Linked DNA regions of Oryctolagus cuniculus. The protein of the gene in region 4 purifies or fractionates together with the protein of the main gene of each other region. This does not show direct contact. Links are inferred from orthologs where the notes say so. Each region holds a gene or a part of one and is shown on either strand. Other genes may lie near its edges.

The links. Proteins that work in one complex are often made in the same cells at the same time.
Region 1: the proteins of protein tyrosine phosphatase type IVA 1 (region 4) and CNNM3 purify together in Homo sapiens (affinity purification with mass spectrometry; 6 studies listed by BioGRID and IntAct, with this or other methods). This does not show direct contact. The link is inferred for Oryctolagus cuniculus from reciprocal best matches to the Homo sapiens genes PTP4A1 and CNNM3.
Region 2: the proteins of protein tyrosine phosphatase type IVA 1 (region 4) and CNNM1 purify together in Homo sapiens (affinity purification with mass spectrometry; 4 studies listed by BioGRID and IntAct, with this or other methods). This does not show direct contact. The link is inferred for Oryctolagus cuniculus from reciprocal best matches to the Homo sapiens genes PTP4A1 and CNNM1.
Region 3: the proteins of protein tyrosine phosphatase type IVA 1 (region 4) and CNNM4 purify together in Homo sapiens (affinity purification with mass spectrometry; 6 studies listed by BioGRID and IntAct, with this or other methods). This does not show direct contact. The link is inferred for Oryctolagus cuniculus from reciprocal best matches to the Homo sapiens genes PTP4A1 and CNNM4.

Annotation. Positions count from the first base shown.
Region 1 is NC_091433.1:110,896,345-110,899,111, reverse strand, and holds part of CNNM3 (metal transporter CNNM3), read left to right. Parts: coding exon 1-25; intron 26-632; coding exon 633-768; intron 769-904; coding exon of another isoform or gene 905-939; exon of another isoform or gene 940-1,071; intron 1,072-2,574; exon of another isoform or gene 2,575-2,675; intron 2,676-2,767. UniProt on the Homo sapiens protein: Probable metal transporter.
Region 2 is NC_091446.1:30,666,973-30,670,437, reverse strand, and holds part of CNNM1 (metal transporter CNNM1), read left to right. Parts: intron 1-676; coding exon 677-863; intron 864-966; coding exon 967-1,182; intron 1,183-2,916; coding exon 2,917-3,018; intron 3,019-3,465. UniProt on the Homo sapiens protein: Probable metal transporter.
Region 3 is NC_091433.1:110,921,697-110,925,196, forward strand, and holds part of CNNM4 (metal transporter CNNM4), read right to left. Parts: intron 1,092-3,500; coding exon 922-1,091; intron 677-921; coding exon 580-676; intron 1-579. UniProt on the Homo sapiens protein: Probable metal transporter. The interaction with the metal ion chaperone COX11 suggests that it may play a role in sensory neuron functions. May play a role in biomineralization and retinal function.
Region 4 is NC_091432.1:77,597,695-77,600,191, forward strand, and holds protein tyrosine phosphatase type IVA 1, read left to right. Parts: upstream 1-1,194; 5' UTR 1,195-1,338; coding exon 1,339-1,860; 3' UTR 1,861-1,997; downstream 1,998-2,497. UniProt on the Homo sapiens protein: Protein tyrosine phosphatase which stimulates progression from G1 into S phase during mitosis. May play a role in the development and maintenance of differentiating epithelial tissues.

The DNA.
Region 1 (2,767 bases), on a different chromosome or scaffold from region 4:
CCTGTCTGACCTGCAGCTCATTAAGGTGACCGCCCGGGCTGCTCGTTGGTGCTGGTTTTATTTCTTTACTTGAGAGACACAGAGTTCTCAGTCCACTGGTTTGCTCCCCAAATGCCTGCAGCAGCCAGGTGGAAGCCAAGAGCTGGGAACTCAGTCCTGGTCTCTGGTATGACGGGCAGGGACTCAGTTACTTGAGCCGTGTCCTGTTGCCTCCCAAGGTGCACATTCGTAGGAAGTGGGAATTGGGAGCGAAGTTAGAATTTGAATCCAGGCAGTCTCAGTAACCACTAGGCCAAATGCCCACCCCAGCTCTGTTGTCTCTGTGAGGCTAGACCGACTGGTGACAAGTTTGTATGGGTTGAAAGCAAACCGATTCTGTCCCAGACTGCCCAAGGCCCTGTGCTCGGCCTGCAGGAGACCCCTAGACTGCTGTGGTCCAGGCCTCGGCCCCTGCCTCCCTCTGAGGCCTGACACGTTCTGCCTGACCGCCCTTCTCTGCTGTTCTCAGCTCGTATCCTTTCCCTCCCGGTGTGATTCTCCCCTCTAGGTCAGGTGCTTTGTGTGCGACCCCTTGTACCTCCTCATCTTGATTTACAAATTGCATCAGCTGGGTGATGTGTTCTGTGCTCCAGGTTACACGGCTACAGTACCTCAATGCACTCCTGGCTACCCGAGCCCAGAGCCTGCCACCGTCCCCTGAGAGTGCCAACCTCCAGGTCGTGCCAGGCAGCCAGACCAGGCTCCTCGTTGAGAAGACTGCTGCAGCCGGTAAGCCTCGGGGGCACGTCCTGTGGTCTGAGTACCCAGGGGGCTGTGCGCCGGCAGTCCTGGCAGCTGACACACACACACACACACACACACACGTGCGCGCTCTCTGCCCTGCTTTTTCTGTTTTTCTCCCCAGCCCTGTCCCTTGTGTTGGACGACACTGAGCAGTAGACCAGTTGGCATTTGAAGTAAAACATGAAGTCCCCGTGTTCCCTTGAAGGCCTTTCAGGATGGGTTCTCCTAACTGGGGAACAGTTGGTGAATGGGAATAAGATCACATGCAGGCTGTTCTGGCCGTTCAGGGTTAGGGTTAGGTCACTTGGGCGAGGAGAATCTGGTCACCAAGGGCCCGGCTCAAAGGTGGAGGGCTGCGGGCACATCAGAAACGAGAAGGGCCCCTGCTGAGGAGGGGGCAGGACAGGCGCTGTCCTGCCGGGGGCTCCGTGGTGGGCAGGAAGACCCGGCCCACACTGTGAGAGGGCATGGGATAGCCAGCCCCACAGTGGAAGGAGGGCTCTGTCATGTGGGCTGTGGGTTGGAGGAGTAAAAGGGGAGCCTTCCGGTTCTTATCCTGTAAGACAGTTGTGTCAGGATGCGCCGGGCCGGGTACCCTACTTCCTCCCCCGACCCCGCAGCCAGTGAGGAAGACGAGCCCTGTGGGGTGCGTGCCTCGCTGGTCTTACGTCCCCGGTCTCAGGTGGTGGTGGGCACGTCCATTCTACAGGTGAGGAGCACGAGTCAGGGTGCAGGTGCCTGGAGAGCCCCTCAGAGAGCAGACCTGCTCACCTGGGCCTGCGCCTGAGAATCCGACCACACGCTTCTACCAGAAGGGTCCTTTCTGAGTTGGGAGGTGGCGTGCAGGAGTGATGGGCAGGAGGCCTTCCCCGTGCCGGGGTGATGGCTCAGCCCCGGGGCTGCAGCTCTGACTGCACGTGAGGCCTTGTTCCTCAGGGCCTCTGGAGGAAGGCAGCCTTTCTGGGGCGCTGCGCCTTCCCGGGCTGACGGGGTCCTGCCTTTACTCCCTGTGATGGGGTGTCCCCCGTGTGGAAGCTCACGCCGTCGTGTTAGCCTTAGATCCCAAAAGCCGAGAGGTTTTGCCTTGCTAAATGTGAGCCTTTGGTTCTGGTTTTCCCCACGCTGAGTCCCTCTGCCCAAGGTGCACACCTGGTCCAGGAGTGGCCGCGCGCCCTCTCTGCCTCCTTGATCAAACATCTCAGAACCTCCAAACCCTCTGTGCCCCAGCTGCTCGTCGGGCAGTCCTGTGAGTCACTTAGAGCAGCTCTGTGGGGCGTCTGCTCTCTAACAGATCCTCCGCTGTTTTGTAGACTTTATGTTGGTGACTGTCACCTACGTGCAGTCTGACATTTGCCCCCAGTGAGGCCTGCCTGTCTTTCTGCTCTCTTCTTCCTGGGGTTGTCCCTGAGCACTGGGCACCTCCCTCCCCAGAAGAGCCTAGTGTCGCTGCGCAGGTGGCGACTTCCCTGGGGCCCCACTCAGGGCAGGTGAGAACCAGTCTTTGGAGACTTGGGCTCTCGAACTTTAAATTGTCTGCAGCAGGGGCGGCAGACTGGTGCGGAGTTGTAACAGACCTGCAGCATCTAGAAATGCAGTGCTTTACCGAAGACGTTTCCTGGGCCCCCCATTTCAGGTTCTGAGTAAATCCTCCCTGTCAGCCACCTCAGGCACCTGGCTTCCCTGCGGTCCTGCACGCCAGCACCTGGCGGCCCGTGGCGCTGCCCTGGGCGAGAGGCTTCACTGTTGGGGCTCAACTGCTGTCTCCTCTTTCTTCCCCTCTGCTCTCTTCAGCCTTCCCAGTAGACATTTCCCTCTTTGGCACATTTGGAAACTGCAGTTGATAAATGACTGTGGACTAGTGAGCATTTTTTTGTTTTAAGAAAACACCCAAGGTAAATATCTTTTCTTTCCTTTTTCCTTTTGCTTTCCTTTCCCGGCCTGTTAGCTGCCGGCGGGGTCCCCAGGCAGCTCTGTGCAGACTAGG
Region 2 (3,465 bases), on a different chromosome or scaffold from region 4:
CTGCTAACGGAAGAGGCCCTCTAGCTTCTCCAGGGTTTCAAGGGAAGAAAGCTTGATTGCAGTGTGGTTGGGTTCGGGGGTAGGCTTTGGATGTGTTCCCTAAAGGTTCGTGTGGTGGAAGCCTGGTCCCCAGCGTAAGAGGTGGCAGATCTCTAAGATCTGGGGTGTCAGGGGAAGGTGGGTCAAGGGGCACCACCCTCAAAAGGGATCAATGTGGCTCTCACAGGGCTGGGCTCCTTCTCGTGAGAGCAGGTGGTAGTGAAGTGAGGTCACCCCACGTGCTTGGCCCCTCTGCACTTGGCCATTTCCATTCCCGCATCTCTGCCGTGTTGTGTCACAGCCAGTTGCCAGTGCCACACTGTTTGGACCCTCCAGCCAAATAAACCCCTGCTCTTTGTAGAGTACCCAGCCCCAGGTATTTTGTTGTAGCAACACAGAACAGACTAAGACAAGCTCCACTGAGTACACCCTAAGGGCCTGCAGCCAATAACAATGAGCCGTAGGAACCGGTGGCGGCCCCTCATCGTCCCTCATCTGCCGAGCTGGGTCTCAAGCCTCAAAGGTCAAGGGTTCCGAGGCACCTGAGCAGGGCTGCCTCTGAGCTGGGCTGCCTCTGAGCTGGGCGGTCCAGGGAGGGCCCTGCCCTGCTCCTGAGCTTCTGCCTGCTTCTCCCCAGATCACACGGCAGCAGTACCAGAATGCACTCACCGCCTGCCACCTGGACAGCTCACCCCAGTCCCCCGACATGGGCGCCTTCACTGACGGGGACTCCAGCAAGGCCCCCACGACCCGGGGCACGCCTCAGACCCCCAAGGATGACCCTGCTGCCGTCTCACTCCTCAACCACAGGAGCAGCCTCCCGTGTAAGTCAGTGGGCGGATGGCCGAGCCTCCTTCCCATCTCGTGCCTCACAGAGCCCCAGGCCCCCTTCCGAGCGGAGCCTGAGGCGTCCACTGTCCTCCACAGGCAGCCGCTCGGACGGGCTGAGAAGCCCCGGCGAGGTGGTGTACCTGAGGATGGAGGAGCTGGCTCTCACCCAGGAGGAGACAACCGACTTGGAGGAGCAGAGCACACAGCAGCTCTCGCTGTCTCCCGCAGCAGGTCCCACAGGAGCAGGTCAGGACGGAGTCTGGGCTCAGACGAGTATCATCTTGGGCAAGGAGATGGCACACGGCAAGCTGGGTGAGAGGAGCCCTGGGACCCCAGCCCTGGAGTACACCCTCCCACCTCCTTACATAGCCACGGGAGAGACACGCCCACCAAGCACCTGCTATGGATTGGGCCCTGTCTCGTTCATTCTCCCAGGACAGCTGTGGTAGGCAGTGTTAGGAGCTTGGACTCTGCCTGGATCCAGCCCCCAACTCCTTCATGTAGGAGCTGTGCGATTTTAGACAAGTTACTTAAGACAAGTTGCTTATCTTCATTGATGATCCTCCTACATGAATAGCTATAAATGATGGTAGCTCTCTTGGGAAGTGGTGTTGAGTATAAACGGGACAGTATACTTTAAGGGCACACATATCACCATGTGTGGAGCATCTACAGTAGGTAGTTATTATTCGACTCGCCTTACAGACTAGGAAACTGGAGTCAGCCATCACTCTTTTTTTTTTTTTCTTAGAAAAAGAGAGGCAGAAACAGAGATCTTCCATCTGCTGGTTTTCTCCCCAGATAGCCACAATGGCTGGAGTTGGTCGATCCAAAGCCAAGAGCTTCTTCTGGGTCTCCCATGTGGGTTCAGAGGCCCAAGCACTTGGCCATCTTCCACTGCTTTTCCAGGCACATTAGCAAGGAGCTGAATCAGATGTGGAGCAGCCGGGTCTCAAGCTGGTGCAGACGGTAGTTTAACCCCTTATGCCAGAGTGCCGGCTCAGTCATCACTCTAACCAGCAGCACCCCTTCCTTTGGGCCCAGAGACCCAAGGTTGTCTGGGAGTTTTTCCTGAGGTCCTAGATTGCATTGCCTCCGAGACATTGAACGCTTTTGCCCTGATGGTGCGGTTGCTCCAGCAATCCCGACATCTTTCTGTGCTCACTAAGTACACACCCCAAACTCTCAGGAGGCCCCTACACCCACCTTCAGGCCACCTGTTCCCCTACCGGACCTCTCAGACCTACCCTAATCCAGAGTGTAAGAGCCCTCAGACCCAGAGAAATGCCTTGAAGAGAACTTACGAGGCCAGCAGACGACACTCTTGGACTCCTGGCTAACCCAGAAAATCCTGGAGGGTCACCGTTCCAGGATACAAGTTTAAAACCAGTGACCCTTCTCTCCCACACACACCGAATCCATCGCCAAAGCACAAGGGAAGAAAATGTGGCAAAGGCGTCAGAATGGAGGCGTGGGGTGGGGTAGTCTTTGAAATCACCCAGTCCTCCCTCCGCATGGGACACCTGAGGACCCTGGAGGCCTAGACAAGGGAAACGTTTGCTCAAGTCCAAACCTGTGCTTGAAGCAGCCTCAGTCTCTGGGTTTCGGTGCAGTGCCGTCTCCGGCTCGTCACCTGCCTGCCTGGTTGGCCCTAAGCCATGACCTCCTCCTGGTTCTCTTGGAATCCCCTTCTGAGGGTGCTTGAAGGTTGTTGAGCCTACAGTTTGCCAGGGCTGTGTGAGCAGAGGAGGGAGACAGCCCTACCTTTCCCCAGATGCCCTTTGGGTGGAGAATATACCGTGCCCTTCCTCCTTTGCCAAATGGTGCTTGGGGGTGAGGGCATTATCCCTCCCTTTGCATGGACTTCTGCCTTCCCTTCCTTTTATGGCACCAAAATGCCTGTTGCCAGCACCCTCTGGGCCTTCCCTCCATTGCCACGCCACCCTGCGCAGGCTCCTGTACAGGATGTCACGCAGAATCACCTTGCCTTGATCCCTGGGCATGGAGGTCGAAAAAACTTGAGTTCTCTCTTCCTTCCTCTCTCAGCGTCAGACAATGAATGTTGTAACATCCACCTGGACACGGAGACCAGCCCTTGCAGTAGCGACTTCGAAGAAACCATGGGCAAGAAGCTGCTGCGAACCTTGAGTGAGTAACGCTTCCCCCAGCCTCGGGCCACCCCCAGCCCCACCCGCGCGTTAGCAAGAAAAGCACATTAGGCTCTTGCTCCTGGAGGAGGCAACTTTGGCTTCTTTTGGGAGCTTTGTTGAGGCACAGTGCGCCCGGGCTTGGGCTGAGACCGCACCCTTGATAGTGGATCTGCCATACCTGCTGTGGTCTCTGGGCTAGGAGCTCATGGCCTGTGCCTGTAGGTCAAACCCCAACATCTCTCCTCCACTTGTTTTCGCCAGTAAACACTCACTAGACCATAGAGACCAGTTTGTTTTCCGCAGCCACAATGGCAGAGTCGAGTACTTGTGAGACCGTTTGGCCCACAGAACCTGTAACATTTACTATCCAGTCCTTTAAAGAAGGGCTTTGTGGCCAGGAGACTCACCGCACAGGAAAGCAGTCCCCTCGGCAGGTGACGGCCAA
Region 3 (3,500 bases), on a different chromosome or scaffold from region 4:
CCTTAACCAAAGGCAGTGGCTAAGCCCCTGGAAAAGCTAAGACCATCTGTAACCCACCCTGCTAAACAGGCCCTGGCCTGGCTCCCAACTATGGGCGCTCTGGGTGCCCCAGTCCTCACCTCCGCCTGCTGTCACGGGCAGCAGGGGCACTGAGGCCGCCTGGCCCTGCCAGTCCATCCTGGTCTCCTTACACTTCTCTCACAGCGGGCCACGAGCGCTTCTGACTTCATGTAATAGCTACCTAAAGGCCTGTGACTTTCTGAGGCTCCCTGATGTGTCCTTTCCTACCCATAGTCCACCCCCCTGCCCTCCACGGCGGGTCTCCTCACCCTCTCAGGATACCCGCCTTGGTTGCCCAGGCCTTCGCTAAGAATTCCCTTCTCGTCTCTGTGACTTGGGCCTCTGGACCCCGTTGAAAGGGGCAAGTCACCCTGCTCTTCCAGGCCACCTCCTCTAGGCCCTGGCAGCCTGGCCCTCACCAATACACACACCACCGCCTCTCCACCCTCACTCCCACACCTTAAACCACCTCAGTTCTGGGATGCAGGAGAAAGGTGCAGGCCCAGCCCTATAACTCACCAGGGGGGACCGAGGTCAAGGCCATGGTCCCATAGTAGGAGAAGGCACCCGTCTCAAACTTCATGTTCTCCTTCCCTGCCTCCACCTCCACCTTCCCCTGGAAGAACACAAGGTCAGGGTTACAGGGAAGAAAAACAAGGCGGAGACAGGTGTGGCAGTGAGGCGCGGGAGTGGCGCAGCCAGCCGCAGGAGGCAGGGGTGGCCCAGAGTCCTGGCGTGCTCAGGGCTCTGCCCTGCAGGTGCAAGGCGGCCCCGGGGGAGAGGACGAGCACTGTGGGGCGAGCAGAGGCTGCGGGGCAGCAGAAGCTGGGGTGGGGAGTGGCCCGAGGAGGAGGCGCGCACCTGCAGGATGAGGATGAAGTAGTCGGCGGGCTTATTTCGGGTGTACAGGTAGTGGCGGACGTAGTACTTGTTGTGCTCATCGAACTTGAGCTCCTGTATGACGTCTGGGTACTTGAGCAGCCGCAGCAGGATCTTCTCCGATATGAGAGAGGGGCTGAACTGGGGGACCTCTGGAGGAGGAGAGAGGGGGGATTCACGCGGGGCCAGGCCAGCAGCCCGGGGGCTCGGTCACTGCAGCGGCAGCCCTGAGCTGAGCTGGTGCCCACTGGCTCAGGCACTCCCTCACTTCTGCTCCTGGCTGCTGACTGCTTAGACCCAAGTCTTCCGTCTGCCGGCGCTGGCCGGGATGGTGGCCCTGGTCCCAACAGCACATGACCTTGGGCTAACTATCTAACCTGTGCCTCAGTTTCCACATACATCAACTGGGGATAAAACCTCATTGGGTGGTTTGCGAGGTCAAATGGGATAACACAAATAAAGCACTTAGACACACTCCTGGCACGTGGGAAGTGCTTAATCAGTGTCCCTAGAATTACCAGGATCATCACTATGGGGACAGGCACTCGGTACAGAGGGCTAAGAAGCTGCCGGGAATGCTGGCATCCCATATCAGAGTGCAGGTTTAGAGTGCTGGCTGCTCCGTTTCTGATCCAGCTCCTTGCTTAATAAACGGCCCAAGTGCTTGGTCCCTACCACTCATGTGGGAGACTCAGATGGAGTTTCAGGCTCCTGGTTTCAGCTTGGACCAGCCCTAGCCATTGAAGCCATCTGGGAAGTGAACCAGCAGATGAAAGATCTTTCTCTGTCACTCTGCGTTTTGAGTAAAAAAAAAAAAGGGGGGGGTGGGAGGTGGGTAGAGTGGCACTGTGGCATAGTAGGCTAAGCCTCTGCCTGCAGTGCCGGCATCCCATATGGGCACTGGCCCCTGTCTTGGCTGCTCCTCTTCCGATGCAGCTCTCTGCTATGGCCTGGGAAAGCAGAGGAAGACGGCCCAAATGCTTAGGCCCCTGCACCCAAGTGGGAGACCTGTAAGAAGCTCCTGGCTCCTGGCTTCAGATTGGCCAAGTTCCAGCCATTGCAGCCATTTTGGGGAGTGAACCAGCAGATAGAAGACCTTTCTCTCTGTCTCTGTCTCTGCCTCTCTCTCTGTAACTCTGCCTCTCAAATAAATAAATTAAAAAGGAAAAACAGTAATATTTAAAAAAATTTACTATTGTTATCAACATTAATATTGTAGTAGCAAACATAAAGGAAAAAGAATGATCACACTGCTACCAACTGAGGGCTGGGAAGGAGGGTGGGTTGTGCAGAAGGGATGGAGGAGGCTGGTATTTCTCCAATCTGTCACCTAGGTCCTGGCGACTGAACCAGGGGTGAGAAAACAGAAATGTCACTGGTCTCGAGGTCAGTTCCTGCAGGGCCCAGCACACACAGGCAGGGGGCAGGCAGGAGACTGAGACCAGGGTGGAGCACAGGCTCTTCGGGCGCATGGGCAGGCAAGGGGCGAGTTCCAGCAAGTGGAGGGCCCCCTTCTCCTTACTGATCTCCGAGGTGCCCTCTCAAGGACTTCAGGCTTATTGCAAAAGTAACTCTGGGGTGGGGGGTGGGGGGGGTGGGGGGGGATGCGCGCACTGTGGTGCAGTGCGTTAATGCCCTGGCCTGAAGTGTCGGCATCCCATATGGGCGCTGGTTTGAGTCCCGGCTGCTCCTCTTCTGATCCAGCTCTCTGCTATGGCCTGGGAAAGCAGTACAATATAGCCCAAGTGCTTGGCCCCTGCACCCACATGGGAGACCTGGAGGAAGCTCCTGGCTCCTGGCTTCGGATCGGCACAGCTCTGGCCGTTGCAGCCAATCGGGGAGTGAACCAGCGGATGGAAGACCTCACTCTCTCTCTCTCTCTCTCTCTCTCTTTCTCTGTGTAACTCTGACTTTCAAATAAGAAAAATAAATCTTTAAAAAAAAAGAAAAAGTAACTCTGGGGGTAGGCGTTTGGCACAGCAGTTAAGTCCCAGCTTGGGACACCCACATCCCATACTGGAGTGCCTGGTTCGAGTCCAGCCTCCTCCTAATACACACCCTGCAAGTACCTGGGTGCCTACCATCCGTGTCAGATACCCAGATGGAGTTCTGGGCTCCTCACTTCAGCCTGGTCCAGCCCTTGCAGTTAAAGAACCAGTGGTTGGAAGGTCTCTGTCTCTCTCTTTGCCGCTGTCTCTCTTTGCTTTTTTTAGTTTCGTTTTTTTAATTTTAAGATTTATTTATTTACTTGAAAAGCAGTTACAAAGAGAAAGAAGTCTTCCATCTTCGGGTTCACTCCCCAAATTGCTACCATGGCCAGGGCTGGGAACTCCACCCAGGTCTCCCACATGGCTGGCAGGGGGCCAAGCACTTGGGCCATCCTCCATTGCTTTCCCAGGTGCATCAGCAGGGAGCTGGATGGGAAGTGAAGCAGCCGGGACTCTGACACTCACATGGGATGCCAGTATTGCAGGCAGGAACTTAACACACTGCATCACAACACCAGCCCCTCTCTCTCTTTTTTTTTTTTTTTTTTTTTTTTTTTTTTTTTTTTTTTGACA
Region 4 (2,497 bases):
AGTTGTAAAATTTAAGTAAAGCTATTTAAATGTAGAACAGTGCCTCACCTAAAGTAAGTGCTAAAAAAAAAAGGTGTCAGTCACAATTACAACTTCCAAAACAGGAAGGGGAAAACATGAATATATGGGGGGTTGGGAACTTAACTCCAAAAGAAATGTAAAAAGATTCCTAAAGTATGGATATAGGAGTCAAATAGCACAAAATAAGGAAATATGAATCAAATAGCAAAAATAAGGGGCCAAAACATCATGCACGCAGTTTTAAAGTTAAAAGACAAAGGTTGTCAGGAAAAAAAAAAAGCTACTGTGCTGTTTATGAAACATGAAAGAGATGGGTAAAAGTGCAGGGTCAATAGGCTAGTCGGGGTCAATGCTTTGGAATCTTCTAGAACCTTCCTTCCCCTATGCTGGTCTCCGTCTACCCCCATGTTCCCTTCAGCCTCTTGGAGGCTTCCTCCTCCACCATCCCCATCCGCGTACCCCTCCTCAGCCGTCTCTGCTCCTCAGAGGCAGGCGGTGACTGAGGCTCCATGGCCTCTCCCTTTGGCCTTGAGTTCACACCAGCGGCACCCATGGCAACCATCGCCCCGGGGAGGGCCTCACGCCCGCGCTCATTGGCTCTCAGGCGGCCCTGCCGCTGCGGTTGGTGAGGGCGCAGTGCCTACGCCGCGCCGGCTATTAAAGGAGCGCTTGTGACGCAATGGCGCCTTGGCGCGCGTATTGGCTCCCGCCAGGCTGTGCCCGAGCTGCTTGGCCACGGTGGAGCCTCGTGTCTCGCCGCTGCCGCCGCCCTGTGACGGCCACTCCCGCTCCTGGACTTGCCGCTGCCGCCGCGTGTGTCGCCGCCACGGGCCTGGCTGTATGAGTAGGCCACAATCTTTCATGAGTAAACATATTCCTTTCTGTGGGGTTTTTGGTCACGCATTTATGGAGTTTCTGAAGGGCCCTGGAGATTACTGCCAGGCACAGCACGGCCTTTATGAGGACAAGTGAACTTGAGAAAGTCACTCTACTCCAGCAGGACGTCCCCATCAGAGAGAATAACCTGGACACAGACGTGTTGAATTGAAAGCATTGGAACATTTTACAAGAGTTCTGACCCGAATGGGGTAAACCTCTGTGCACTTGCTTTCCACCGACTCGGCATTATTAGTGAGTCGAAGAACAGCTGCTGCTTCTCAGGAAATTCATCTCATTTTCTGTCACCTGCCTATCTGAAGTGCTGAGAATTTCAAGTGGAGTGTATTGAGGTGGACTTCAGTTTCTTGACATCATTTCTGTATTCAAAAGCTTTTAATTTTTTCGTGACCGTATTGAGTGGTTTTAAACGAAATTAACATGGCTCCGATGAACCGCCCGGCTCCTGTGGAAGTCACATACAGGAACATGAGATTCCTTATTACACACAACCCAACCACTGCAACCTTAAACAGGTTTATAGAGGAACTTAAGAAATACGGAGTTACCACAATAGTGAGAGTGTGTGAAGCAACTTACGACACCGCCCTCATGGAGAAAGAAGGTATCCAGGTTCTGGATTGGCCTTTTGATGATGGATCATCTCCTTCCAATCAGATTGTTGATGACTGGTTAAGTCTTGTAAACATTAAATTCCGTGAAGAACCTGGTTGTTGTATTGCTGTCCACTGTGTTGCGGGTCTTGGGAGAACCCCAGTGCTTGTTGCCTTAGCGTTAATTGAAAGTGGAATGAAAAATGAAGATGCAGTGCAGTTTATTAGACAAAAGCGGCGTGGAGCTTTTAACAGCAAACAACTTTTGTATTTGGAGAAATACCGTTCTAAAATGCGGCTGCGCTTCAAAGACTCCAGTGGTCACAGAAACAACTGTTGCATTCAATAAAACTTAGCTGCCTGATGCTATTGCCTTGGAAGTGGAACTTGAGACTGGATCTAATTTTTCAGATCTATTAGCCAACATCTTAGTGAATAAGTCTAATGAAGCTCCCATAGGAATGTTGAAAAGCCACAAGCTTGACAGAATTGCCACTTCTGTTTTGCTTACTATTTATTATCCTATGCCAAAAAACAATATATAAAAAGTATAGTGAGATTAGATGCCAAGATACCCAGTACAATATGTGTTTATTTTTAGTATCATACAGAATTAAAATCCCAGGAACTTTGAACAGTACTCTAGACCTTACATCATTTATTCTTTAAGTCCTTTGAAACATTATAATAGGGCTTGTATGGTTATTTGTCTGTTCCTTTATGTTCACTACCCACAAGTGTACTGGTTTGTGCAACAAGTGATTTTGTTGGATTCTTATCAAGTCTTATGGTGATTATTTAGTCTTTCTATAAGTTCCTGTTAGGAAAAACTTTATTTTGAGAAATTAACCTCTGGTTTAAAGTTCATGCAAAATTCTCGTTGTGCAAGAAACACATGTGTTTAATGTCATCAGACAAAAAAGTCTTACCTTTGGGGTACAACTTAAGAGGGGAGGCAGAATGGGAGGAAGCTATGAAATATTTAG